Linked DNA regions of Lepisosteus oculatus. The protein of the gene in region 1 interacts with the protein of each later gene in a biochemical or structural test. Links are inferred from orthologs where the notes say so. Each region holds a gene or a part of one and is shown on either strand. Other genes may lie near its edges.

Evidence for each region.
Region 2: the proteins of lrrk2 (region 1) and chgb interact on a protein array, tested with the Homo sapiens proteins (3 studies listed by BioGRID and IntAct, with this or other methods). The link is inferred for Lepisosteus oculatus from reciprocal best matches to the Homo sapiens genes LRRK2 and CHGB.
Region 3: the proteins of lrrk2 (region 1) and nek1 interact on a protein array, tested with the Homo sapiens proteins (2 studies listed by BioGRID and IntAct, with this or other methods). The link is inferred for Lepisosteus oculatus from reciprocal best matches to the Homo sapiens genes LRRK2 and NEK1.
Region 4: the proteins of lrrk2 (region 1) and anks4b interact on a protein array, tested with the Homo sapiens proteins (2 studies listed by BioGRID and IntAct, with this or other methods). The link is inferred for Lepisosteus oculatus from reciprocal best matches to the Homo sapiens genes LRRK2 and ANKS4B.

The regions. Positions count from the first base shown.
Region 1 is NC_090702.1:37,348,512-37,355,941, forward strand, and holds the start of lrrk2 (leucine-rich repeat serine/threonine-protein kinase 2), read left to right. Parts: upstream 1-4,422; 5' UTR 4,423-4,968; coding exon 4,969-5,107; intron 5,108-5,367; coding exon 5,368-5,453; intron 5,454-6,383; coding exon 6,384-6,490; intron 6,491-7,059; coding exon 7,060-7,148; intron 7,149-7,430. UniProt on the Homo sapiens protein: Serine/threonine-protein kinase which phosphorylates a broad range of proteins involved in multiple processes such as neuronal plasticity, innate immunity, autophagy, and vesicle trafficking.
Region 2 is NC_090697.1:40,572,800-40,580,139, forward strand, and holds the start of chgb (secretogranin-1), read left to right. Parts: upstream 1-4,338; 5' UTR 4,339-4,535; coding exon 4,536-4,581; intron 4,582-5,105; coding exon 5,106-5,152; intron 5,153-5,272; coding exon 5,273-5,366; intron 5,367-7,340. UniProt on the Homo sapiens protein: Secretogranin-1 is a neuroendocrine secretory granule protein, which may be the precursor for other biologically active peptides.
Region 3 is NC_090696.1:51,779,709-51,786,859, reverse strand, and holds the start of nek1 (serine/threonine-protein kinase Nek1), read right to left. Parts: upstream 3,003-7,151; 5' UTR 2,921-3,002; intron 1-2,920. UniProt on the Homo sapiens protein: Phosphorylates serines and threonines, but also appears to possess tyrosine kinase activity. Involved in DNA damage checkpoint control and for proper DNA damage repair.
Region 4 is NC_090714.1:16,472,416-16,479,358, reverse strand, and holds the start of anks4b (ankyrin repeat and SAM domain-containing protein 4B), read right to left. Parts: upstream 3,003-6,943; 5' UTR 2,743-3,002; coding exon 2,399-2,742; intron 1-2,398. Other genes in the region: slc25a17l (peroxisomal membrane protein PMP34), read left to right, coding at 4,751-4,879, 5,307-5,367, 5,807-5,873, 6,154-6,308, 6,441-6,557, 6,686-6,831. UniProt on the Homo sapiens protein: As part of the intermicrovillar adhesion complex/IMAC plays a role in epithelial brush border differentiation, controlling microvilli organization and length. Plays a role in assembly of the complex.

The sequences.
Region 1 (7,430 bases):
AGTTTATGTTTTTCATAAAGTTTATGTAAATTATACATTATTATCGTTTTGAATATTAGCTGTCTTCTGAGTATACGAAAAATATGTAGCGGTATAAATGTAAATCTCAGTTCCAAGGGCGAAATGATGTTTCCATATTTCTCTTTTACGTTTTACTGTAATAGTAACTTAACCTCGTTTCTTTAAAGCTCGCATGCCGATGTAATACATATATATTATATCAGTATTGCCAGCAGCCATATCACCCTGCATCTAACAACTGGGAACCCACTGCAGTTAAGCAGGTATTAGCCTGGTCAGCACCTGGATAAAAGACCTCTGGGAAAACAAAGGATACTACTGGAAGAGGTGTTAGTGTGGGCAGAAGAGGGTGATTACTCACTGTGTGGGTTCTAATGCCCCTAATGATATCTGAAGAAAAAAGGTGAATGTAAATTGTGTTAGAGGGCTTATCACTTCTCATATGCCACATCTAATTTAATCTCAAAGTACTGTATGTGTCACTCACCTTATTTCAGTTTACTTACATGAATAAAGCATTTTTTCAGGTCTGTGTACACACTTGGGGTAAATGTTATGCTTTCACTCTGGATTTTTATTAAAATCCCCCTCACTCTCCCTTAAAGAAGGGAAAATCAATGTAAATCAATCAATCAAGGTTTATTTATCAATTACACAACAATACAGCATACAGCGGGGGTTGTCAGCAATGACATGCTTTTTCCACAAGCTTGCAAGGAGAGATAGGACAGAAGTTGATCGAATTAAGGTTACAAGTAGAATACAATAAATTATACAATTAACAAGATTTACACAATAGCATAAGGAGATATGGTAGGGATAGAAGATAGATACTTTATTGATCCCGTGAGGGAAATTGCAGCGCAACAGCAGCTTAACACAGACAACACAGCAACAGTGTAACGAATGATAAAATAATAATAATAATAATAATAATAATAATAATAATAATAATAATAATAATAATAATAATAATAATAATACAATACATACAATACAATCAGTACAGTGAGTGCACTAAGAAGAGTTCCTCAGTACAGAACACACAAAGAACAAACCAGAACAGAACAGTACACAAAAAAGTCGTATTGCACAATATAAATATAAATGTATTGCACAGGTCCCTGGCATATATTGCACAAAATGGTTGTAAACGGGAAAAAGAAAAAGAACAGATGTATCAGTTTACTGTTCAGTCCAGAAACAGGTCACTGTGTCAATGTTGCCACTGCCCAGATGCAAGGTGGATGCGTTGTACAGTCTTATGGCAGAAGGCAAGAATGACCTCCTGTAGCGCTCCCTGTCGCACTGTGGATGGATCAGTCTATTGCTGAAAGTGCTCTTCATTTCTACTAGCATGTCATAGAGGGGATGGGAGACGTTGTCCATGATGGCCTCTAGTTTGGACATCATTCTCCTCTCACCCACTACCTCCAGGGGGTTCAGGCCAGACCCAATGACAGAGCTTGCTCTCCTGATGAGCTTGTTCAGCCTGTTAGAATTCACTGCTCTTATTTCAGAGCCCCAGCATACCACCACGTAGAAAATGGCGCTCGCCACAACCAACTGATAGAACATATGTAGCATCTTACTACATACATTGAAGGACCTGAGACTCCTCAAGAAGTAAAGTCGGCTCTGACCCTTCTTGTAAATGGCCTCGATGTTCTTAGACCATTCTAGTCTATTGTCGATGTGCACTCCCAGGTACTTGTATGAGTCCACCATCTCCATGCCACTCCCATGGATGTGGGCAGGAGTAGGTTTGACCCTTTTCCTCCTGAAATCTACCACCAGCTCCTTCATCTTTGTTACATTCAATTGCTGGTGGTTCTTCCCACACCACTCCACAAAGCTGTTGACCAGTCCGCTGTACTCCTCCTCCTCCCCACCCTTGATACATTCCACAATTGCAGAGCCATCTGAGAACTTCTGCAGGTGGCACGACTTTGAGTTGTATTTAAAGTCTGAAGTATAGAGGGTGAAAAGGAATGGAGAAAGAACTGTCCCCTGGGGAGCCCCTGTGTTACTTACTACCTGTTCAGACACACAGTTCTGAAGTCTCACAGACTGTGGTCTGCCTGTCAATAGTCAGTGATCCATGAGATAATGGACACACCGACTTGCATCTCCTCCAGTTTCCTCCTTAGAAGTAAGGGCTGAATAGTATTGAAGGCACTGGAGAAGTTGAAAAACATGATCCTTACAGTATTGCCAGCCTTGTCCAGGTGTGAGTAGGCCCTTTGCAGCATGTAGATGATTGCATCCTCCACACCAACACTGGGCTGGTAGGTGAACTGTAGGGTGTCCAGTGAACTAACCAGGGGTCTCAGGTGGGATAAGACCAGCCTCTCCAGTGTCTTCATTACGTGAGAAGTCAGTGCAACTGGTCTGTAGTCATTGAGGACAGAGGGGCGCTCTTCCCTTGGTACCGGGACCAGGCATGATGTCTTCCAGAGCACAGGGACTCTCTCCAAGCGCAGGCTCAGGTTGAACAGTCGCTGGAGCAGTCCACTCAGCTGATCAGCACAAGCCCTCAGAACTCTGGGACAGACGTTATCTGGTCCTGTGGCTTTACCCTGGTGCAGCCTCTTCAGCTCCCTCTTCACCTGGTCAGCCGTGATGGTCAGCCTGGCCTGGGGGATGGTGCTCATAACGCTGTCAGTGCTGCTGGTGTTAATGGCGGGGTCAGAGATGTCAGGGAAAGAAAAAAAACGCAGGTACACCTTATCAGTTTCAAGTGGACTGACTATTTATCAGTGGTTGTTTGGGTAATTGCTGGCTGCCATGGTTGGCAGTTTAGCAGTTTTATTGCCTGAGGGAAAAAGCTGTTTTGAAATCTGTTGGTCTGTATGCTTCGGTATCGTTTTCCAGACAGTAGTAGAGAAAGGTGGGTAGCTGCGTCAGCATGCGTAGGCTGCAAAGGAACAAGTAATAGGTTTATTCCATTCCATGTGTGACACCTGAAGAAGGCTCCACGGCCGAAACGTTGTGTTCTCTTTCTTCTTTTTTTCAGTAGTAGAGAAAGCAGATTATGGTTGTGGTGACTGGGGTCCTTGAGAATAGACCTGGCCTTTATGAGGCATCTAACAGAGTAGATATGTTCTTTGTTCGGTAGCACGCAGGCGGTGATGTGCAACAAAACATGATGATGGACTACAAAACACTGGGATCAATTAGGGTACAGTGACACCGGAATAGGGTTATAATTGGGTACATGTATAAAAGGGTCCAAAACCAAGGAAACTATTTACATAAATCCGGGCGATCTCGCGACCGTATACACCGGTTCCGCCATTGGTCTGCCGCACTGGCCAGCGGCACTCCTAGTCCCTGCCCTGACCACCACTACTCCCGTCCTGCACCTGCAGGCGAGGGCGCTACAATAACATACTTCAATTCTACATTTTAACTATACTGTATATCCTAGTATTTTATTTGTCTTTTTAATTTCTTCTCTTTACTGCCTAGAAGATGCCTATGATGTGTAAACATAAACACCTAAGTCTTTTCCCTAAACCTCTTAGTTAGAATATTTGTATTTATAGTTTTATTTATTTATAGTTTGTAGTTATAGTATATATATATTTTTACCACCAGCATGCCATACGCTGCACTTGTGTACACTAAACACAACGTGCACGGTCGTGTTTTATTTTTACTAAATCGTTATGTACAGTATTTCATTTGCCGCTTCTGCAATCTTTGCCAATCCCCCTATTTTGGCATCATCTGCAAACTCCACTAAAGTTTACGAAGAACACTGGTCCTGCTACAGATGCCCGTGATACTCGACTAATTACTTCACCCCAGTCTGAGTATTCATGCCCTATTTGCTCCCTGTTTTCTAGTAACCACTTCTTAAACACTCGCGTTTCCCTGAATGTTATTGAGAACTAGCTTGACATTTGCAATTAGTTTGAATATAGAGAAAGTGGAAGTAGCAGAAATAGCTACACAGATTTGACAAAAATATAAGGGATACACTGCTTAAACTGTATTATTACAGAAATAATATGAAGAAGTTGAAGCTGTGTAGGTGGTGTGACCGCTAGTAAAGAGGGAAAGTTTCCATGGTGAGATGTCATCAAAATGTACTCGGTTGCAAATAAAAGTAGAAAATACAACAGGAAGAGTTATATAACTCTAAAATCATGGGTATACAGGCTGGATCAATGTACACTTGTGTAGTAAAACTTTCAGTCGCATTGACTAGATCATTAGAAAGTCTCGCAAACTCCTACGTGATATTTCGAGGCTACCTAATCTAATCTAAATTGTTTATAAGTAAAATATAACACAGGAAAGTACGACTGTCGTCTGCGGTCCTGTCAAAAATACTACTCAGACGTTCTACCGTAAAGCAATTCGTTTTTATTACGTCTTTATGTTTGGGGAAAGGTTTCAGATTTCACAATATTCTGATAAAGAAAAGTAGAGCAATTGAATGCGATTTAAGTTAAAAGCCATCATTTGCAAAGTTAATTTTTGAACAAGAAAGCCTGCAAAGTCGAACCACAGAACAGAGCTTCTGTATTGTTCAGTATTGTATATTTCAATGGAGGAAACAAAACAGATAGCCTTCATCTACGAAGAGTCATGTGATTGCAGTGCTATTAAAAACGAATGAAGCAGAAACGATGTTTAACTTCTATATTTAATTAAAAATAAAAAGATATACGTTGTGTTACTCATCTGCTTCAAAGCTTGAACTGTTTTGTTTATGAATGAGGAGGACTTCCTGCAATGTTTTTTCTTTCAACCTAGCTACATACGTCATGTAATACTGCGGTGTGAAAAAGTTTGTCACATACTGTATTGCATGTCACTTTACCAGTGTGTTGCACTTACTGTAGCACAGTGGAAAAACAACTTTACGGGCAACATGGCTCCATAAGTAATCATATTTGCCCTCTTTTTTATTCAACAGATTGTGACTTGTGAAACATGGCCAATAAGGAGGAACTAGAAGAAAAGCTTAAAAAATTAATTGTGAGGTTAAAAAATGTCCAAGAAGGAAAGCAACTGGATACACTTATTCAGATTCTTGAGGATTTACTCTTCCTTACTTTTGCTGGCGACTGTGGTGAGTAGATGGTAGATACAGTACTATATCGATGTTGTCCTTTAGAAAACATACTTTAGGCAGATCTACTTGAATTATAGAACAATAAACTAATTTTACTTTTAGAACTACGATTAACTCCTGCCTCTTCACACTCTGTGCTATAAAAATAAAGTCTTCTCGAGCTACAGTATAGTTGCAAATCACTGTAAATCAGTTATCGTTGAGCATCGTATCTACTTCAAAATGGAATTACTGATAATACTGTCTATTTTTTTCAGCAACAGAATTATTTGAAGATAAAGACGTTCACCTGCCTTTAATGGTGGTCTTAGATTCTTACATTGACAGTCATGCTGTACAAGAGGTCAGTGCGTATTATTTACTGATGCCATTTTAACGATGGTGGTGGTTTTAGAAAATATATTAAGACCAAGCACCAGATGATACGATTTTGGGAAAAATAAAAAATCTATTTTTCATTGCAAGAGTTTATTTAAAAAGTGCAATGTTCACTGGGGAAAAGGTGTTTAGTTAGCTTTTTCCATAAAATATACAGTAGTTATTTATGCATTATTGTTTTCTAATTAATGGTAATGTTTTAATGTCCCCTTTTTATTAATTCTTACCTTAATACTTCTGAATAGTGTTGTTGTTGAGTTTTATCCTGATTGCTGTACAGAGACATTAAAATTGAAATTCTCCATACTGTAACAACTCTAATAGTATCAAGTTTTAGTAATACTGTCTTAGAAATGTCTTATATATTTTTCTTATAAATGTATTTATAAGAAATGTGCCCATGGAAGTTAAAGTGCTTGGTTGATAAATGTTTTAAATTATGTATACAACAGTTTTTATTTTTGTGATTATGAACTAATTAAGGGTGATTGAACGTTATAGGGCCAACCTGGAAGACGCTGAGGTTATTGTACATAGGAAACTTGCCTTACAGGAATTCCAAGTGCTTTTGAAGCATGTCCATGAACAGCTTTAGGAATCTAAGTTTGAATGCCTGAGCATCTGGCTTCTTGTTCTTGGGAATGGAGGAAGAGAGCCTAAGTTAAATATTTAACCCAAAAGCAGTTTTCATTGCATTTTATGAGTGGTATCAGGGTGTGTTACTGCTCGATGTTATAATACATTCTTACTTTATTTAGTAAGGCAGAGAACACATCCCATACCAAATGGCCTGAAATGCCTTTTAAGAACTGATGAACGCTTTGGAGTCTTAGTAATTGTTTTCTGATGAAAAATCAACAGTACTGATCTAAAACTGAATGGGTTTGATCCTAAGGTGGGATGGTCATTGCTCTGCAGACTAATGGAAGTTTGCCCTTCTACTTTGGAAAAGTTATCAGCTCCACAAGTTGAAAAAGACTGGGAAGTACTGGGAATACACCAGTAAGTATGCATGTTTATCTCTTCTGCAAATTCATAAACTGATGTAAACTTTCATGTTTATGTTTTGTGTTTCTAGATGTGAAGAGGTTTGCGGGCTTGGGTGATAATAAGGAATTGAAATGACCGCAGTCCACGGCATTTATGTTCCTGCAGGGTTTTATTAAAAATAAATCAAGCTTGAATGTTTAGTTTACTTAAGTAGATGCTTAATGAAGGAAGGAGGTGACTGGGGTGTTTGGGGAAAATTTGTTTGGGATGACATGAACTTTAACTTTTTTTAATTTTCTTTCTTTAATGTACAGTACAAGGAAGGAGACACCTAGGTTGCAGGTCTGCAAGTTTTACAATAAGATGTTGAGTCACTTCCTCTGCAATTTTGAGAACCACAACTGCTAACAGGCCTTTGTTAACAAGAGGATGTGATTTTTTTCTTGTTTGTGCCATTAATTGGGTCTGCTTTTAGCACACTGTTTGAAGCAGCTGAAAAATACAAAAAGATAAGCCTTTCTGTTTTTATTTAGGTTGCATGTCAGTCTTTCTTATTTTTCTCACAATGTGTTTTTACAAAGGCAGATTCTGAAGATGCTGTCTTTGCACAATGGCCATTCAAAGCTGATGATGATTGGACTCAGAGCTTTATCGCATCTTTTACAGTCAGGTTGGGGCTGTTTAAGTTTTATCCCAATTTGATGTACTGTATACGCATATAACTCAGAAATGGTTATATGTGTTATTAGTCGACGTGTCACGTACTGTATCAGTTTTTAATTAAAATCATATAATTCTGTATGTTTTAGTACTTTGGAATACATTTTTTCTCTAGGCACCCTCTTTTTATCTGTTTTAGATAATGAACTCACTTTACATTACTTGTATTGTCTGTGTAATAATTTTAGATGAAGTAACATGCTTAGATTTTTAATTATGTGATTCTCTCATT
Region 2 (7,340 bases), on another chromosome or scaffold:
TTACTTGATTTGGAACCTGTGCAAGTTGTTTGCTTCTCAAATGCTGGAGATTTTAAATTACAAACAGCAAGAAACCTCTAACATTTAAGAGTAGAACAAAAAAATCAGAAGATACTGAGCCATCAGCCACCTGTGAGCGACCAGGATTGGGATCTGGAAACTCCAGTCTAAAGATTATGTTTGTGGAGATAATAAGTTATAAATGTAATAATAATTTGTAGCATTTAATTGCAATACATACAGGATTAAGAATATTTATTAAACATCAATTTCCTTATAATTTCTCTACATTATTAAAGTAAAGAGCATAGCAAGACTATGATATATAAAGGAGTACTGGTTTCAATCTCATGCAATCTGTTTGATTGTGGGATAATTTAAAAGCAGGTTTATTTATCCTGTCAAGTCTGACCTTTTCTAGACAGACAACTGCTGTGACTGTGTCTTCAATTTGTCATGAAACTAAAAACCCTGGAGGCTTTCAATTCCACAAATCCAGCACATCTCTTTGTGTTGTCTTGTTTAGCACAGTGTACTTTCTGAAAGCACCAGTACCACAAAGTGAAATTTTTGGTATAATTTGCAATTGTTTTTTTTAATGTCTGCCCATTCAATTTACTCACAGTGAAAGGGATATCATTATATTGATTACTTAGGAACATTAGCTGTGTAGAAAGTTAGTTTCTTTATTCCTCCTAACAGCTCCTGTATTCACAGGTATATATGGACATCTTATTTGGTGTCTCTTCCTGCTACAGTTATTACTTTTTAATATCTTCAGATACCTGAATGATAAGATTTTTTCACATGATAAGTTTTGAAGTGCCCTGAGTATACAGTGTAGTTCATATCTGTGTGTGAATTCTTGACATAGTTCATGACAGTATTAATAAAAATAAATCAATATCATGTTTAACACATGTTTATCTGGCATAATGACGCATCAATATGAATGAGTGATCTACAAGATTTAATCAGTTTATCAGAGAAAAGGTACAATTATAGCTGTTTTATATGCCTGTGAAGTATATGGTTAATTATGCCACTAAATAATAATAATAACTAATAATTGCTTACACTTATATAACGCTTTTCTGGACACTCCACTCAAAGCGCTTTACAGGTAATGGGGATCCCCTCCACCACCACCAATGTGCAGCATCCACCTGGATGATGCGACAGCAGCCATAGCGCACCAGAACGCTCAACACACGTCAGCTATCAGAGGGGAGGAGAGCAGAGTAAAGAAGCCAATTCATAGATAAATATATGAATAGCATATGGTCAAAAAAAACTTTATTTCTAATATAGTGGGGCAGAACCATTTTGCTGAAATCTTTTTTTAAAATTAGAATTATTAAAAAATTTAAAATTAAAACAAATTTAGCTTGAGAACATTCACAATTATTCATCTTCAAAATCTATATATGTGTATAATGATGTTGTTTAAAAGTTTTTCTGTAATACTTAGCATATAAAATCAAATTAAATCTACTGCTTTCCCTTCTGTTATATATTATTTATATTGTTTTGAATACTGCAGTCAGAAATACTGCTGAGGGGCTTCTAAGTGTTACTATAACTCTTTGTCTTCTAGTGTGAATTGCAATGCAGTGGAAATCTACCATGAAATAATATGTGCTGCTAAATTCCAACAAAATATTGAATCTTGAAGTTATGAGTCTTTTAATTTACCACTTGAGCTTACTGATTGTTCAGAATCCTTCATGAAATGGATTTTTCTAATCTGTTACAGCATAGTTGAATTATTGAAAACTGAAAACGGAAATATGAGTTTTGCAGGCACCCCAAAAAATGTCTTATTTCAGTCTGGCCCAATGCTGCTATGAACACCGAGACAGAACAGGTTAATAATTAAAATAAGTAAATCAAAAGTCTAAATTGAGCATTAATCATTCAAGACATCATTCTACATGCATAGTTTTTCCCCACACACCGTACGTGTATGTATTTGCAATGCATGTTGTATGTATTTCTTTTTTCAGTAAGCCCAATTTTATTTTGTATTAATCTTCTTTTAATATATTTCTGTTGTATTTACAGATTGACCCTCAATCCTGTAAATACTACTGATCACCGATGCCTGTGCCAGTCGGTGCCTGAATTTAGGACATTTTATACCTTTGTAAATGTGGGATTAAAAATAATTTATGGTGTTAGTTGCAATCCCTATACATATATACCGTAATATGCATTGTAATGGTATTTCATGGCAATCAAATATTTATAAATGTTCAGTAAAGCTATCCTGTCTTAATTATCTACCTGATGGAACACAATGATAGTCCTATTTGCAGTTTTAAAATAATAAAGACACTGCAATTTACTGCTTCTGTTACATCTTCAAAAATTGTAATTGTGATCTAGGTTTATTCATCTTTGACTTCACATGGGAAAGAAATGCAACACCTCAAAGAAACTGATTTGAATATTGTCAGAAGCTGATTACATACAACAAAAAGCAGGAACAGGGTGCAAAATATTGATGTTATTTCTACACTAAACCACTCTACATACAATGTTAATGACATTTTAAATTCCAAACAATTAGGCTCACAGCTGGATAATGAAAAATTAATTAACAATCCTACTTAACAATAAATCACAGAATATAGCGTTAATGTGTACAAATCAGAGTTTGTTATTTGAAACCTTATAGAAATATAGTCACATTAATTCCAAAAATCAAATGTTTTGCATATGCAGCTATAAATGTAGCAGTTATTAATATATATAGTTATTATATATAGTTCTAGATTAGAATGAAAATCTTAATCTTAATCTGCAGAAATCAATCAAACACCTTTCACAACAGAAAGGAGGCATAATTATGGAATCTTTTTTCTCTTTTTATGAAATATAGTATCGGATTTCCATAAATATTGATATAAGAAAGCAAAAATAATCTTCACCACATTGTTCAATTTTCACATTGTTTCATTTTAAATACAAGGCCTTGTTTTAATTATGGATAAATTTATATCACCACCATTTTATTCCATGCATGTTATTCATGGTTTTTAGGTTTTATCATTGGTTCTTAAATTCCATGTCCATGCACTATTTTAGCAAAAATGACTTCTATAAAGTATCTTCATGACCTTTGTCAAGACTAAATGTGCAGCAACTCATACACTCATATTTATATACTGTATGTTTCCAGTTTGCAGGTTTGATGACATTAGAAATTTCTGCTAATAGTGGATCAGTCGAGCAGCCAGTATAAAAAGATGTTTTGCTGCGTGTTCACAAATGTCTGTGAAACTATGAAACCATTCAAGCCACAGCAGTTGACACAGCTCTGTTTGAGGCATACAGTAGGTAGTGGAATTCTGGTATTCTGGAATTCCACTTCCTATTGGTGGTGTATTTATTTGCCTGTAAACCTTGGAGACTGCTAAATTGATACATTAGCCAGGTATTCAGTGATGCAGCTGACCGAGACACTTGCACCAACAGCCATACTGTATCTCTTGTGCAGTTGCTTATATCATTCTAATTTCCCATAGCACAGCATAATTATGGAAAGACTCAGTCTGCAGGTTCTTTACAGTTCTCAGGCATTTGGGGACTCACCATTTGTTGAACTATTCCCATTACTTTGGACACAATAGGTCACTCCTACAAATAGATCATATTTATCTCTAGTTCAGTGGGGTACTGTGTATAATAAGTATTTAGAAACATGACATTCTACTAAAATTCACGGTATATGCCAGCATATCAAACTCCAGATTCTCCTTGTACAAAATTCAAAATTCCGAAATAGAAAACTTCTGCTGCCTCACTCCTTTTCTGCATGCTGATAGTGTTTCACTGCGATCTAAATAAATACATTTGAGGAAATATTAAAAAAGCCTTAGTGCTATTAATAAATCTGTGATTGATAAGTATTCGAAGTAACTACGTTTTTTCTCAATTCAACATTTCCTTACGTTTTTAACGTAACATTTGGCGTTTCGTTTCAAGTCTATTTGCCACAAAACCTAACATTATTATATAAGTATGATCTCTCTTTTTGTATTCTATACACCAAATAAATTACTAATTAATTTATTTTACTTTTAAAAAATATAAAAAGCTGTAATTTACAACTCAACCGAAAAAAAGAAAATAATGGAAACGGGTTTAATATTTCGATACAACGCATGAAGTTCAACGATAGAATATTATTTATGCGTATTCTTGGTGAAGATTTGAATATGGAAGAGCACTTTCCTGGGGGTGAGGGGGGGGGGGGGGGGTTAATGACGCAGGTCACGAGTAAAAGAGAAGCCTCCCACGCCTTTTCAAGCAGTAGCTTGTTTCATGTGCCTCCCCCCTGTTTATATCAAAGCAGAAGGAGCCTGCCTGCTGTAGTGAGCAGGAGACCCTCGATGTAAAGCCTTCGGTGGAAGACGACGCAGTTGACTAGTGTCGCGTCTGACTTATTTACTCGCTTAGCACTGATAACATCGGGGAAAACAACAACAATAATATCCTGCGAAAAATAAGAGTTGCAGCACTTTATCATAATGAAGCTTATGATTCTTGTTTTTCTTGCGGTTTCTTTCCTCGGAGGTAGGAAAGCAGACTTATAGTTCCATTCGTATTAAAACTTCCTTTCGACTTCATGCGTATTGAAAAGGAGTATCGTGCTTTCAGCACCGTGGACAGCAGACATGTTCAAGGGTTATTTTAGAGATATGGTGCAGCTCGCGTAGATGAGATTCAAAGTTGAAATACCTTTTGTACACCAAAAGAATTGTGTTATTTAATTTATATATATATATAAATGTGTGTTTGTTTTGCTTATCACGATTCCATATTAAGCTTGTACCTTTTTACATTTTTACATTTATGGCACTTTTGCTACTGCATGCTGAAGATGGATTGTATAAGAACAGGATAATATATAGTTTACAAAATGTAGGTTAAACCTTACAAAACGTATTACAATAGCACAATCTCTTTCCTTACAGTAGCCGCGGTAGTTACAGAAGCAGTAGCAGAAGCAGTGTCAGTGATAGTGGTATAACCACTTTTAGGGCTATCATAAATGTATAGGTTAATTTTAAACATGTTTTTTAATTTGTGCTTGACAGATATCTCATCTGTGCCTATCGAGAAAGAAAGAAAGAAGGAGGATTTGGTATGTTTTCATTCCTCTTAAACTTCATAATCTAAGGAATTCTTAAAAAAACAGGACTTGTACTCCTGCTGCTAAAACAGGAATATATTAAATAACGAATATATTTGTATTTAATTTTAGGTCACTCGTTGCATTGCCGAAGTAATTTCCAACGCACTTTCAAAACCAAACGCTGCTCCTGTCGATCCAGAATGCAAAGAAATTATTAAAACGGGTAAGTTCAGAACAGCTTTGACTCGTTATTTGAAACTTCAGCAATCAAATGAACTTAATTGAATTGAAGTTGTAATGCGAACAAACGTTTTCGATAGCACCTTTTGGACTTGCCAATGTGTGAGAAATTAAGAATGTTGAATTCAATTTGTATTAAAATATTAGTCCTTAAATATTTATATGAGCTGTTTATATGGATTTATAGAACAAGTATCATACACCAATTGTCTTTATCATTCATTCTTCTGCTGCATTATTATTTTATAGAACCATTTCTTTATACAAATAACTAAAGTAGTGTTTAGGAGCAGTGATATGCAGAAATATTAATATGTCCAAAATTCTATGTCTAAAATGGTCTAATTGTATATATCCCAGACAGCTCAAGTCTTGCACTCCAAATGTGAGATGCATTTGTACCTTGTCTTGCATTTCCACTGCATTAAATCTCCCAGAGAACTCACACTAGCTTCCAGACAGATTACTGTAATTTGTGTAGTGCTCTGCTCTGGATGTGTTACTAACTTTGATTTGCACATTGTATTGACTGTATACTATATGTCAATTGCACTAGATGAAGTATAAAATGGTTTTAGCTGGGGCTAGTTGTGTGTTAGCAATTTGATAGAAATCTCACTTACATATCTTATTCTTCATAATAGTCCCATGTTATGTATTTATATACTGTATCTACTCTATTTAAAATCATTAAGTGATTATTAACAAATCTGGTATTATGTATGTGGGCATGACATAGAAAAAATAATAATAGGAAAATGTTGTCTGTAGTCTCCTGGTATCGTCAAAAACATATAATTAAATTATTTATTTAACAAGCTCAGCTTATCCTGAGTGAACAAGCACTAACAGATTACAGATCATTGTATTCTAAACATCTAAACAGCAAAATAAAGCAATATTTCAAGCAATTCCATTATTTACCCAGTGTTAGGACCTTCTTGACACTACGGTATTCTTTTTGAGTGAGACGCATTTCTAAGAAACTATCAATTTAATCAATAATATATTCGTAACATCAGTTTCTATGGTCTTCTGTACTTTTTCACACATCAACCAGTGCTTTTAGAAAATGAACATCTTTACCCCTCATGGGAGCCTATTATTTAGACTGATATCACTTGGATCATGAGCTGGTCCCAAGTCCACTGACACGTCCAGGCAGCCTATATCTTCAGTAAGGGTTGCATACAAGAGTCAGAGGGGGGGAAACCAGAGTTATAATAATAATTTGGAAAGTGCTTAAAGCAATTTCGCAAGGCTTCTGAGACTCATGTGTTTTTGTATTTATAAATAAGGCACACATTTTAGAATGTAGGCACAAAACCCTAGTATCTTAAAACTGTTGATATGTTTGAATGCTAATCATAGTTAATATTTCTAAAAACTGCATCTCTAAGACCTTCAAGTAATATTGAATCAAAACATTTTCTTAAAACCATAGTGTGCTGTCATTATGAATTATATCAATTGCTTGGTGCTAAATGAATATCATAATTCAACGTGGTGTTTCTACAAAAGCAGCAGAGGTCACCAAGGGTGTTGTTTATTCTTGGGCAGTTTTTTTCATAATGTTCTGAGAAATATTTGGAATTCCAGGGCATGAATGAAAACAATGAGAAATATGATCACTGAACTTGAAAGATATAATAAAATTGTCTGTGCCATTTCCATCTCAGGCATGTATCTACTTCCAATGTAGTATATACAGTACAATAAAATATGAGATCGTATTTTAGCTAAAGAAATTGTGCTGATTTACAAATCAGATGGATGCATAAACCATTAATGTTCATCTAAATTGCTTTTGCTTCACATAAAATACATTTTTAATGGTATTCTATTTTGTCTTAGGAATGCTGTTAGACTGAGATGTATTTTCTGTTTCATGCCTCTTTTTCCACATTCATGATATTGTATTGGCAGAATAGTTAAAATGAGGCTGTGTATTACAAGT
Region 3 (7,151 bases), on another chromosome or scaffold:
TGAAATGGTGGATGATATCAAAAGTATGCTGGTAGAGCGTGTTAAAATGAGCAGATGCTTTTCACTGCAATTAGATCAGTCTTTAGTCGATTTGGCCAATTTGCTTGTTTACGTTAGATACTGTACGAGTTTGAGGGTACGTCCCATGAGGACTTTCTGTTCTGTAAACCACTACCAACAGAAACTACAGGAGAGCACATATTTCAGCTTCTGAATGAATTTATCGAAGAGAATGGCATCGACTGGATAAAATGCGTCGGAGTTTGTACAGATGGTGCTAGGATGACAAGCCGACACAGCGGTGTAGTTACACAAATTAGAGAGGTTACTCCAGAAATGAATGGACGCATTGCAACATCCACTGCGAGAACTTTGCAATCAAGAAAATGCCTGACGATTTAAAATCTGTTAGACTCTGTTGCGAATTGTATCAAGGCTCGAAAAATGAATTCACATCTGCTTTACTCGACCAAACAGGCTCACCCCTCTCACTGAAATGGTGCTTTTTTATTATTTTTTAATAAAAAGCTGTGAGAAGCCACCTTTAAAGGCGCCATATCAAATAAAGTTTATTATTATAATATTTATTATATGTGTATGTGAGTGTGTGCACGCATGTGCGCTCATGTTGGTCATTGAGGATTTCTGGAGTTCCTATGAGAAGATGACTTGTAGGTGGTACTTGAATGCTTTGGTTTGATCAGGGGTGGTACTTGGTCCAAAACATTTGAGAACCACTGTTCTATATTATGTTACATAATAGTACAATCATCTTAATAACTTGCATTCTAAATCCCAATGAGAGAAGAAGCAGACTCCAGCTAGCTAGATCATCTTTTATTTTAAGAGAGAGAGCTGAATTTTGAAATAAACAGTTTTGATAAGTCTTCAGATAAATTAACTCCCAAATATTTAATGGATGTTTATAGCCAATTTAGCTTAAACCTTTCTTTTCATTGATCCAGTGGGTTATAATCACACAAAACTTCAATTTATTTATATATTCAGTTTATAGTCCAATATCAAATTTCTCCAGTAGATTCACTATCCTAGCAAAGAAATTCATTAGGATTATCCAAATACAGCCGGATATCCTCTGCATACAATGCTTGCAATCTTCTTGTCCTTTGAAAATCTTTGATTTTTGGGTCTTGCCTAATCCATTCTGCCAGAGGTTCTATGTATGAAGAAAACAGGAGGTTTAGCAGGGGACATCCTTGTCTTATACCTCTCTTTAAGCAAAATATGTCAAAAACATTTCTACTGATCTTAATTTGCCCTGTAGAATTTGAATAGATTTTAATTAAATGTCTTAATACATCAGCAAATCCAAACCTCTCTAATGTTTGATATAAAAATTCTGAACTGAATCAATCAAAGTCTTTCTCTGCATCTAGTCTAACCAAGATCGCCCATATTTTTTATCCTCTATTACTTGATAATACGGAGAGTATGTAATGTTATCTTGTCTATGTGTATTCTGAAATAATCCTGTTTGATCTAAATTTAATTGTTGGGATAAAAAATTGAAGCTTAAATCTTGTAGCCCACATTGAGTACAGAAACTGGTTGGTGAAACCCACATTTAAATCTTTTCCTTCTTTTGGTTTAACAAATATAACAGCTTTGTTCCTTCCCTTATCCAATTATAGGTGGGCAAGCCAACTGTTTTTGAATACCTTATGGAATTCACTGGAAAGCCATATGTCCCTAGTGGTTTATCAGCCTTACAATTTGAAATTAAGATTAATCATTTACTCAGTTAATTACTCTACTTAAATTTTGACCCCCATTTAAAGTAGGGAGGTTTAGTGAGTATAATAAAAAGGAAATGTCCTGTTTATTTTGGATTTCAGACTGTGCATACAGATTTTAGTAATATTCAACAAAGGTTGAATTTAGAACAGTGCAATGCAATTTGGTCACCACGTTAAAAAAAAACATATTGCTGCTCTAAAATCAACAAGATACATTTCTGGGATCACAGAACTGTCACACTGACAAGCTGACTGAACTTGAAGAATACAACAAGAATAACTGACTAAAGCAATCAAAATCCTTAAAGGGAATGCCACAATCTACACAAATAACTGATTCAGAACCAAAGAAGTGCATTTGAAACTTTCAGGATTCACAATTTCAGTAGAGGGTTGTGAGAGCGGGAACAAGCTACCCAATCAAGCTGTTAAGGGTTAAAAGCCGCAGATGCCGTTTATAGGGTTTCACCCACTAGCAATCAATTGAGCTAGATGGGAGGACTGCCCTACACTTGTTTTGTTTAATTTATATATTATTACCTAGAAACGTTTCTAACTGGAACTGTATCTTTTTAATTGTAATTCTATAAATAACTAATTTTCCAAATTTGCTTCACCAAATTTTGTTTGCCATTGATAATAATGTGTAGCAATATTTGTTTTTATGAAGTTCAGTTTCATCACACAGTATAAGTCTGACAATTCGATTTTCAAGAGAAACTTACACGTTTCTCACTAGCATAAACTGTAGCGAATCTCTAGAAACCTACAAAAGAAAATAAAGCCACCAATTAGTCTGTTAACAGACTACATTTATCGTAGACACCAAACATCTTGTACAAGTTTTGGTCAAATAAATTACAACTTTTTTAGCACTAGCTCTACCATAATTATATTTAAAATCCATATACCAGATGTAACAAATCGATATAAAATGACGAACTATTGAATGAACTTTTAATAATATTAGGAGTGGATGTACAAAATGCGTATTCTAATATTACGAGGTCAAGATGCTGCTCAAGCAGGGCCTGAAAAGTGTCAGACAGGTTAAGAAAATCAGTATCAGTATTTTTTATTTGACAAAAACCACGCGTATACGAATACAGGATAAACTTCAGATTAGTGATAACAAGAATATATTTAAAAAACATTTTACATACCATTGACTTGACCAGGTTACAATCCTCAGCGGCACCAAACCGCTTCAATTCACCCTCTCGCTCTCTAGCTAACTTGCTGGAAGTCCCGCCCTTGTAAGTATGCATTATAATTCGTTCACGGTGCTGTCAATCTTCTTCTAATGCTTTGTTTTCTCTGTTTGTTGTGGCTCAAGGCTTCTCCGTGGCAACCGTCTCCGCCCTGTGTAAAACAGAAAGGGGGTGGGGCGAGCCCCTTGCAGAAATTCACTTGCAGAGGAAAACAAATGCAAAATTATCAAAACAAGTTACTCTAAAATATGAGGTCTCAAATTGCACCAGTTAATTATTACAAGCTTGGAACCTACACTGCGTTATATACTCGATGACTAAAATATTCATTAAGCCGTCTCTTTAAATTTCAAGTTTATATGGACGGGAGATGCAAAAGTAACCTGATACTGGTGATACTGCTCACGCTATGGTTACAATAGACAGTTATATCTGTTTTAAAATAATAGTTTTTAATTTTAGATTTTAAGATTTTATTCACACACATTTTCTGCTTGGTCTTCTGTGAAACCACAAATACATCAGCAGCTGAAAGTACTTTTAATCTGTCTAAGTGAACAAATCTAGATTATTGACTTTTCAGTTTTACTAATCAAATGAACTTTACATCCCTTTTATGACAGGGAGACACTATTTCAGAATGATTCCCAGTCACCAATATTTGGTCTGTTAATAATACAGGTCTCCCATGCTTTGCATTGACCCCCCACGAACTGTCCAAATTGTTCTTCTATCCTTAGCAATAGTACTAATAGTAGCTGAAGAATTTTCGTTTTATATATCTTTAGAGAATATTTTATTTTCTTGTAAATAAAGCCAGGAAAGCTACTGAATACCAGGGTTTAGGTACAAAGGTTCTGAGCCACATTATATAGTAATCTAGGATATTCCATAGTTTGGTCAAGCATGATGATACAAACAATATGGAAATCATGAACAAACAAAGATGATGAATGGTGTATGTGTAACAGGTTAATTACAAACTGTGGCTTGTTACAGCACTGCTCAAGGGCTGATCAGCATAAACATATTTAATCCAAAACATCACAAAGTTGTGGCATTTGCACTTGAATCTCAGATGGAAATTGCTGTGACTGAAATAAATCTGACACCCTTATCTTCAAAACTTAAACAAAAATCAAACTCATTTGCCAAAAACGGGTCTCTGCTGCAGGATATTTAACACTCCTAGAGACTAGAGAGTTACATCCTCACAAGAGTCTCAGCAGTCATCATACACTACAAACCCTGTAGTTCCTGTAGAACTGGGCATTTGCTATAAATAATCCCTTCATGAAGGCTTTGTCATATTGAGAAGGCATCTGGGGTTCTGTGCTATTTTGTCATGTCATTGATCTCCTGGGGCTTCACATCCTCTGGATTTCTGTACTATTGAAAGATTCCTGTTGGATTATCTGTTATTAATACATTGTACAAAGGATGTGAAGGTTCTTATGCCAGTAAACAAGTCACGTTATTGCAGTCCCAAGGATAACGTTTAATTATTTTTGTTAATTTGAATGTGAGGGTTATTATTAATTGTTGGAAGTGAAGCACGTGTATATTCCAAATGTAAAACTTTTGAATGCTGCATATTATATCATTTAATTTAAAATGGGCAATGCAAATTAGTTACTCCATTTCATAGCTCTTTTTTGCTTTCAAGATAAATATATTTTTCTAATTTGCATGTAATCAAATAGTGCTACTGTACATTATATTTTGTGTATAAGATTTAAAAACCCAACAATTTTGTAACCACTTTATCCAATAAAGGGTCACAGGGGAGCCAGAGGCTATCCCATCAAGCAATGGGCACTAGGAAGGATACAACCTGGACAATATGCCAGTCTATGGTAGGGCACCCACAGACAGAGAAACAAACACACCAGGGCCAATTTTCCCAGAAACCAATTAATCTACAAGTCTCACTTTGGACTGTGGGAGGAAACCAGAACACCTGTAGGAAACCCACTTAAACATGTGGAAAACATAAAAACTCCACAACAGAGAACACCCCAGATGTAGAATTGAACCCAGATCCCCAGTGCTACAAGGCAGCAATACTAACCACTGCACCACTTTGCTAGTATTACTAAACATAAACATACAGTATTTGAATACCTTCTTAACAGAGCCTTAACTGCAGTGTACTGTATGATATTTTATAATTATAACAAATAATGGTAAGGTGGGTGTCATTTTGTGATTAATGTGTCAGCATGATTAGGATTAAAACCAAAGAAACTCCAGAAGATAATGTACTGTAACCTTGATTTCTTTTTGTACACAACGGAATAAAAACATATACACAGGTACAAGATATCAAAACACTTCTTTTGATGTGATAATTAGCCCACTTTCCCAAAACATCACCCAAAGCCCTTCTATCCTCACTAACTTTTACAGATGCACTACAGAAAGCACACTGACAGGTTGCATCACAGTGTGGTATGGCAACTGCAGTATTGCTGACCACAAAGCTCTACAGCGGGTGGTGAAAACTGCCCAGTCCATCACTGGGGCTGCCCTCCCATCTATACAGGACATTTATGACAGACAGTGCTTGAGGAAAGCTCTAAGCATCATCAAAGACCCCACACACCCCAACTACAGACTGTATGACCCTCTACCATCTGGAAAATGGTACCAGAGCATTCAGACCCAGACTACCAGACTCAGAGACAGTTTTTACCCCTACGCTTTAAAACTATTAAACTCCCAGCCTCTCTATGATCTGAACCTCACAGTGCCTTCTTTCTTACCAAAAACTCAAACACACATTGAAATCTACCTCCATGTTACATGTCAAAAAGCTCACTCCCCATAATTTTCTATCCTTTTATTTCATTCTATTGATGCATGTTTTTGCATATCTGATGTTGTTTTGCACATTACCTGTTACCTTTTGTTGTTTTGCACATTGCCTGTTGTTGTTTTTGCACACTGCCTGTTGTCTCTGTCTTTCTTGTATTATACAATTGTATTGTTATTTTTTTGTACTACGTATTGTCTGAGAGCTAGCTAAATAGCATTTTGTTATACCATATACCTGTATATGAGTACGATGACAATAAACTTGAACTTGAACTATGTAGGTTATTATATCAACACTTTCATCATACAATTGCAAAGCAATATTAGTAAGAAATTCTATGTTTTGTTGGTGGGCATAGTGGCACAGTTGTTAACATTGCTGCCTTACAATGCTGGAGCCCTGGTTTTAATTCGGACCTGGAGTAATATCTGCATGGTGTTTGTATGATCTCCATGTACAGTATGTTCATGGATACCTTCATTACTAATGATTTAACGTGGTCCCAGGATGTAACTGGAGCTACAAGACAGGCACAATAGTGCCTTTACTTTCTCAGACAAAAATTAGCTCTATCTTTAACTGTCCTTACTACATTACAGGTGCACTTGAAAGTGTGCTCACATGTGGCATTACAGTGTGGTTTGGCAGCAGCTCGTTGTCTGACCAAAAGGCGTTTTTAGAGGACAATCAGGTCAGCCCAGTCCATTATTGGAATACAGCTTCTCTCTATTGTGGACATTTTTACAATGCGCTGTCTCAGGAAGGCTGGAAGTATTACTAAGAACAACAATCATCTTGGTTTATCACTTTTCTCCCACCTTCCCTCTGGTAAGCGTTATAGGAGCATAAAGGCACGAACCTCCAGATTCAAAGACAGATGTTTTCCGCAAGCTGTCAGATTACTGAATTCTACCCTCACTACTGACTAAATCCATCTACATTATCACACCCACATTATTACTCACACTGATGTGTTTTTTTCTCTTCTCACACTGCTTGTCTGACTTGCTTTTTTAAAGTTGTATGTTATTTAGCTACTTGTTGCTGCTGCTGTTCTGTGTTTATGTTTTGGTGTTTGTATCAGATATTTCATTGCAGTTGTGTATATGACAAATAAACTGAACTGAGATGGATTGTATTTTAAGACATCTCAGAATATCAAGCATATCATTTTCTAAACTGTATTCTATAAAGTACTCTTGAGTAAATATTTTGAGTATTAGATGTTTATCAGAGGTTATGGGTCTAAGATTGAATAAAAGCATAAGGAACCTTGTCAGATGCATATAATTAAAATAAATTATTTGCATTTGTATTGCACTAATCATGTCAAAGGATCCAAGAATGCTTTACACATAAGAGAGG
Region 4 (6,943 bases), on another chromosome or scaffold:
ATTGATTATCCTACTGATTTTCCAATGGAAACAGCTTTTATCACGGTAAGGAGATCAGGGTTGTTACAGTATGTTTGCATGTGACAACCGCCGAATACTTAACTGGTGAGGTATTAAGAATAAAGTCCTCATGTATATTATCTACTGGCTTGTAAAATGCCCGCTAGGTGATAGTCGCTTAGCAACTACACAAATGTCTGTGTGAGTCCTGCCATGGACAGGTGTCCCATCCAGGGCGTATCCTGATTTGCGACCAGTGCTTCCTGGGATAGGCTCTGGGCCAGCGTGACCCTGAACTGGCCTTCATTGAAATTGATGATGATGATGATGGTGATGATAGTGATGATTCTTGTTAACTATGTTTTGGAAAGACACATCAACAAACTGACAACTTTTTCCAATTTTAAAGAGAAGAATAAAAACATAAAATAAAGTAATTAGCTGTTACACATCATTTATTGTTCTTTCACCCTCATTACATTAATGTTCACTAAAATACTTTTTAAACAATGTAAGATCTTTTCTGTTATAATGACTAAAATTCTCTCTGGCTCTCTCCTGCTACAGTGTGAACACATGCGATTGAAAAGCTGCAGAGTAAAGTCTCAAACCTCTCTGAACTGAAAGAGCCCTTTGTGTTGTTTGAGCATTATTCTGTTTTGCTTGATTAGATCTCTGGCATCATTCAGCTCCTAAAAAGCTTCAGCTCCCAAAAAGCTTTGCAAGTGACGCAAACTGGGGCGAGAGTTTTTAAACGATATTTCACGATACAAACGCAGCAAAAAAAAAAGCCATTGTAAAATATGTCAAGGCTTCAACAGGCTGATGTGGTCCTGCAACAAAATCCCAGGAGAAAAGTATGTTTGTTGAAATGATATTCTGTTGTTTCAGAAAAAAACGATGTTTGATCACTTTGCCCGTGTGATTAAAAAGCTGCACTGATAACTGCTGAAAGCTGTTATATACAGCAGGTGATAATCTCACAGCAACCTTTGATACCTGCCCGTGGTGTCCTTTCGCGTTTCTCAAGCTTTGACAAACCCACAAGTACAAGTGACACCGGCTGCACGGTCCCCAGATCAGTTCCCCCACGCGTTCACTGGTCTGGGCCTCACGAGAGCCGCGTGCGGCTGTACCATCGCCACCTTCCCAGAGATCAGTGGATTCCCTGGGAGAAAGCGCGAGGAAGGAAGAGCCCAGCTCTTGTCTTGGGGTCCGGATTGCTTGACCTGCTGTTGGAAGTTCCGGGTGTTTGGAGACTGAACTGAGTGGAGTTGAAAACTGGAGGAACTGGTGAACAAAAAGAAAAACCGTGCAATGCAAAAACAAAGAGCTCAGCTGACCTTGCTAGCTAAGTGTCTAGAACTCTCTGTGGTGACGTTATGTCTGTGTTAGAGCACTGAGGAAGTGTCTTCTTGCAGGGTATAAAGGTCTCATCCCATGAAGAGACTTTGCAGGTATGTGCAATACCACCCACCCCACCCACCTTTGAGGAAGCCGACGTGAGCAACTCCGTTCTGTTTTTGTTCTGCCTTCTGTTTGTAGGCTTTTGTTTCTGAGTGTATTCCCTTTTTTTTCATTAAAATGGGAAGCGCTTGTTTACAGCACTTGGGGGAGGCTGGTTTGATGGTCGCTGATCGCAGTATAACTCCGGCATCATTCTTGTCGGGTCGTTTGGCGAACGGAAAATGAAAGCACCAGCTACACGATGTTCAAGGCGTTTAAATTAACGTTAAGTCACTCGCGCCATCCGCTTTCTGATCGAAAAACTCTTTCAGCACCTGCTGAGATACCGTTAGATTGAAGTCAAACAGATCAAAGAGATCACAGGCGGAAGAGATCGATGAAGGGGAAACCGGCCGATATAATATTGTAAAGTATCCCGTAATAATATCCTGTACATCGTTAAGACGCTGTGCGACAAAATCAACGTCCGAATACATACGGAATATTTTAGAGAACATTAAAAAGTAAGGAGGGGGTGAATATAAGTACATTTGACATATTATTGAAGCATAAGTAGGAGGAAAAATACCATTTATGTGATCTCTATTTGCTGGAGAACAGAATTCACATCGTGAATATTTTTAATTAAAAAAATCTCTTGATGGATTTTTTTTTGTTTTTGAGAAAACTAAAAGCTTTTTGACACTACGCAAAAGGGAAAAAAAAGTTAAAACTACGTTGTATTCATACATGGAAATGGGACTTTCAAGCATTTTGCACACAAAATATTAGTTTAAAAAAATAAGGGTAGGTTTTGCCATTCGTGGTCTACAGAAGTGTACTTTTTAATCCTGTCTGTCCTCTACGGTCAGGTTTTCTCTGGGGTTTCGCCCCGGTGAGTCGCCTCACCGGCCGCTCGACGAAACGGATGCCGGCTCCTCGCCTTACTCACCCCCTGCTGCAGATCAGCTGCAGCGCCTCGAGATGTCCGTGGAAAGCCGCCCAGAGGGTCGGGGTCATGCCGTCCTCATCCGGGGTGTTCAGATCCTTCCTGGTACCCTCTTTCAGCAGGTCCAGATAGCCATCGATGGCCGCTTTATGGTACCTCGTAGACATGATGACCGGTGCCGCTCCTCTCTCTTTCTCAGCTTGATGGCGAGACCTCGGGACACAGACCAGCGCCTCTACCGCAGGACGCCTCGCATGATCGCCCCCGCCAGCCTGGAAAACAAGAGTCTCTTCAACACCAAGGGCTGAAGATAAAGGCCGAGTCGCCACCTCCACCTGCTGGGCCATAAATCGCAGGCAAAGTCCATCTCTCCTGGCTCGGTGTGCATTGAAGGTGGCGCAAATGGGGAGACGCCAGTTTGTACGGCGAGGACTTCATCGATCCGCTCTTTGCGGTGTGTTACAAGAAGGAGAATGAAATTCACCCTCTCCCTCCTCTTCGACAAAAATCAAAATATAATTGTATCACATATCGAGACATGGAGTGACTTGATCTGTGTTATATCCAAGGAGACATTACAATAAAATAAGATATCTATTTTGTTTCTTTGACTAAAGTCACTTTTTGAACGAGAAAAACTAAAAAAATAATTTAATAATGTTCTAGTTAAGGCTGTAACTACATATGACTTAATAAGGCTTGTTTTCTAACATGTATATGTTAGAAATAATAGGTTTAGTCCGTGCCGAAAACAAATTCCACACCTGAATAGGAATAAACCTATTACTTGTTCCTTTCCAGCCTACGCATGGTGACACAGCTACCCACCTGAACTATGTTAGAAATATATACATATTACTTAATACCGTACGTCTTAATAACCCATGATTCAACTATGCACACAGTCATATCTTTCATAACAACAAAATTGCTGTATGGGTTTTAAAATTCTATTTTAAATATATTAATAGTTGAGTTGAACAGGCTCGCCCTGAAATAAGTAGCTGCTGTAATTAAGATGATGCGCCTCCGCTCCGACACGCACGCAGATCTGGAACCAGGGGGTCTTAATTCCTCCGGGTTGTGGGAACAGTTTGTTCTGTCTGCTCAATGTGCTCATTAAAGACGTGAGGTCAAAGGAGGAGCTCTTTTCGGTAGGTCAGTTAATTCTCTTGTTATTATTGTACCACTCCTACAGATGAGCCTACAGTGCCGCCATTGTTACACTGTCGGCTAGCCGAGATCATTGTAGGATTACACCGTTAAGAGCCTGGCTTTAACACAACGGAAAACATTGCTATTCACGAAATACTTTTATTTCGCAATCAACGAGTCGCCCTACAGCAATATAAAAGCAAACTACACAATGGTGCAATAGACATAAGTAATAAAGTTACCCACAACAAAATATAATTCGTGCAACATGAATTCAGCACCAACCAACCCCTTTAGACAGTACTAGTATCTCCATTAGTATGGAAGACAGTGGAAGTGAAATGATCTAGGGTAAACCAAAGTTTCTTTAAAAAAAACTCCCAAAACGAAATATTTAAAATTTTCTTTTGACAAACGCAAAAAAAAAGAGCAGGGGATATTAAACATAAAGAGATTTGACGGAGCTGATTCTAATTAAAATATTCGCCGCGAATTCGGCTCCTCTTGTTTTTTTCTTCCGCCGAGCCAGTCGTGGCTAGTGAGGTGTGAATTCTTCAGCCCTTACTTGTGGAAAAGCCGGCCCTGTCTGGGCTCCCTCGCCTGCCTGCGGGACAGCCCGGGCCCGAATCAGTACCGGGACTCTCCTCTGGGGGGCGCTCGCTAAAACCCACGTGACTCGAGGCTGCCCGCAGAAACCCAGACAGACCCGCACCCTCAAAAGACCCCAAGAAAACCCCTTAACAGCACCCCAATACCTCGCCTAATGGCTCACCCTGATGTTCCCAACCTACACTACTTGTCTGACTTTTTTTTTTAAGTTGCATGTTTTTTTTTTAACTTCTTGTTGTTGTTGTTGCTGCAGCTGTTCTGTGTTTCTGTTTCTGTTGATTTCTTTTACTGCCTTTGTATCGGAGCCTAAGTGCAAATAAGCATTTCACTGCGCTGGGGCAGGTGACAACTAAACTGAACGGAACTCGCGCAAACCCGCTGCCTCCTGCTCAGTTTCTCCTGGACTCCCGCAAGTCGGACCCGAAACACCTGTATGTCGGGGATCCCTCCCCCCTCCTCCCCGCCCTACAGGACACAGAGAGCCATCTCCGGCGTAGCTCCTCCTCTGCACGCAGGAGGAAGCGAGGAGGGAGGGCCGTTTGCCGCAGTCAGCCCGGGAGCGGAGAGGAGTTGGAGCCGGTGGTGTTATACATGCGCCCTGGCCAGGACCGCGCCGAGATGTCGCCCCCGCCTCAGCAGGAGGAAATGTCGGAGCCCCCGGTGGCCGCCGTCGGCCTGCTGTCTTATGAGACCCTCGTACACGCCGTCGCTGGGGCTGTGGTAGGAGACTCGGGGCAAACTGGACGAGCTGAGCTCGGATTTCAGGGTCTCAACGCGTCTTTATGTACTTTTCACTTCAACGCCATCGCGCTGGTGCCAGAAGTCTCGGAAAGTCATGTTTTAGTGCGAGTTTTTATCTGACCGGCGCCTAGCTGCGGGTTCTGTATCCGGTCTGCGGACCGAGACAGAGCCCCGGCCAGCGTGCTTCACGGTAACACAAAATACAAACTACCGCATTGCTAAATACGTCAACGCAGATGACAAGCGTCTCATTGCAAAAAGTAACCGTGCCAAGGTCTGATCGTTCAGGACCTTTTTTTCTTTCTTCTTTCCGCCCCCGAGCGGAAAAAGCCCCGTCGAGGGGCGGGTTGAAAGTGCGGGCTGTTCCGTGTCGGCGCTAACCCCCCGCCGCTCCGTGCCTCCGCAGGGCAGCGCGACGGCCATGAGCGTGTTCTTCCCGCTGGACACGGCCAGGATCCGGCTGCAAGGTGAGACGGGCAGGGGTACCAGCAACGCTTTCGGTTCAGACCAAACTCTTGACCAGCACAAGACCCAGACCCGCCGCGGGACAGCTGCACTGTGCTGCAGGTGCCCCGTGATCACATGACCTCCTGACCTCATGAACCTGGGTCTAACTGGGCACAGCGCCCACTGGGGCCATGTCTGTTCTGTTTGAGGGCAGTGTTTATTTTGCTTTGTTCTCGTTATTGTTCTGAAAGGGTTAAAAGGCGGCTCTGATGTTAACTGAGGGTGATTTTTTATTAAAAACAATTTGACTTCGGGAGGGTGAAAGAATGGGCACTGTGTCGGTCTTTATTCGAAGAGTCCCCCAGCGCTGAGGCTCTGCTCTGAGCTCTGAGGGACTGCACACTGATGGTCAAGTTCCGGCCGCCGCGGTGACGGTTTTGTGTGGCTGGTCACTTTCAGTGGACGAGCACCGGAAGTCCAGGTCCACTCCCGTCATCCTGGCCGAGATCGCGAAGGAGGAGGGGGTGTAAGTACAGCCGGGGTCGGCGTCCGGGGCGGCTGGGGGGGGGTCTCGTGACGAGCCGGACCTGCCGCAGGGCGCATGGTCCCCTGCCTCCCCCAGGGGGAGGAGGCGCTAGTGAGCAGCTGCTGCGCTCTGGCCAGGGACTGCGTTTGCCCACAGCAGCGCAGGTCGGCCATGGCGGAGAGGGTAGTTGGTCGGGGGCCGCTTTGTCGCGGCTCGGGGGGGCCTGAGCCGCCGCGGATGTGTGACGCCTGGGAGCGGGCTTTCCCTCTTCTTCCTGCAGCCCGGCTCTGTATCGCGGCTGGTTTCCCGTGATCTCCAGCCTCTGCTGCTCCAACTTCGTGTATTTCTACACCTTCAACACCCTGAAGGCCCTGTGGGCGCTGGAGAGGGGCCGGTCCCGGCCGGGCAGAGACCTGCTCATGGGCTTCATCTCGGGTGAGAGGGCGCCGCCCACAGTCTAGACAGAACTCGCGTGAGCCGAGAAGAGGTTGTACTGAAGCCAACGTGTGAGGCGTTGGTTTCTGCAGGCTGAACTCCCAGCCCGGCTGAGCTCACGGTGTCTTTCAGGGGCCGTCAATGTCCTCCTGACTACCCCCATGTGGGTCGTCAACACCAGGCTGAAGCTGCAGGGAGCCAGGTTCAGGAACGAGGAGCTTCAGCAGACTCACTATAAGGGCATTTTCGGTGAGCCACCCTGTCAGACCACGCCGCGTGTTGCCTTGGCTTTTAAAGCTGGGCCTGACATGAGACCACATGAGTCAACTCCTGTCCTGCAGGCACTGCGTAACACAGCCCCCCCCCTGTCTCTCTAGATGCCTTCTCCCAGATCGCAGCCCGGGAGGGGCTGGGGGCCCTGTGGAACGGCACGCTGCCCTCCCTCCTCCTGGTCTTCAACCCCGCGGTGCAGTTCATGTTCTACGAAGCGATGAAGAGGAGGGCCGGCCGCGGCCGCAGGAAGGTGAGAGGGCCCCTCGCCCGCCCCTGTCAGCTGCAGGCCCTGCCACTCGATCCCGAGCCCCAGGCCCGACGGGGAAAGAGCGGGAGCTTTGATCCACTTGGGAACGCAGCTG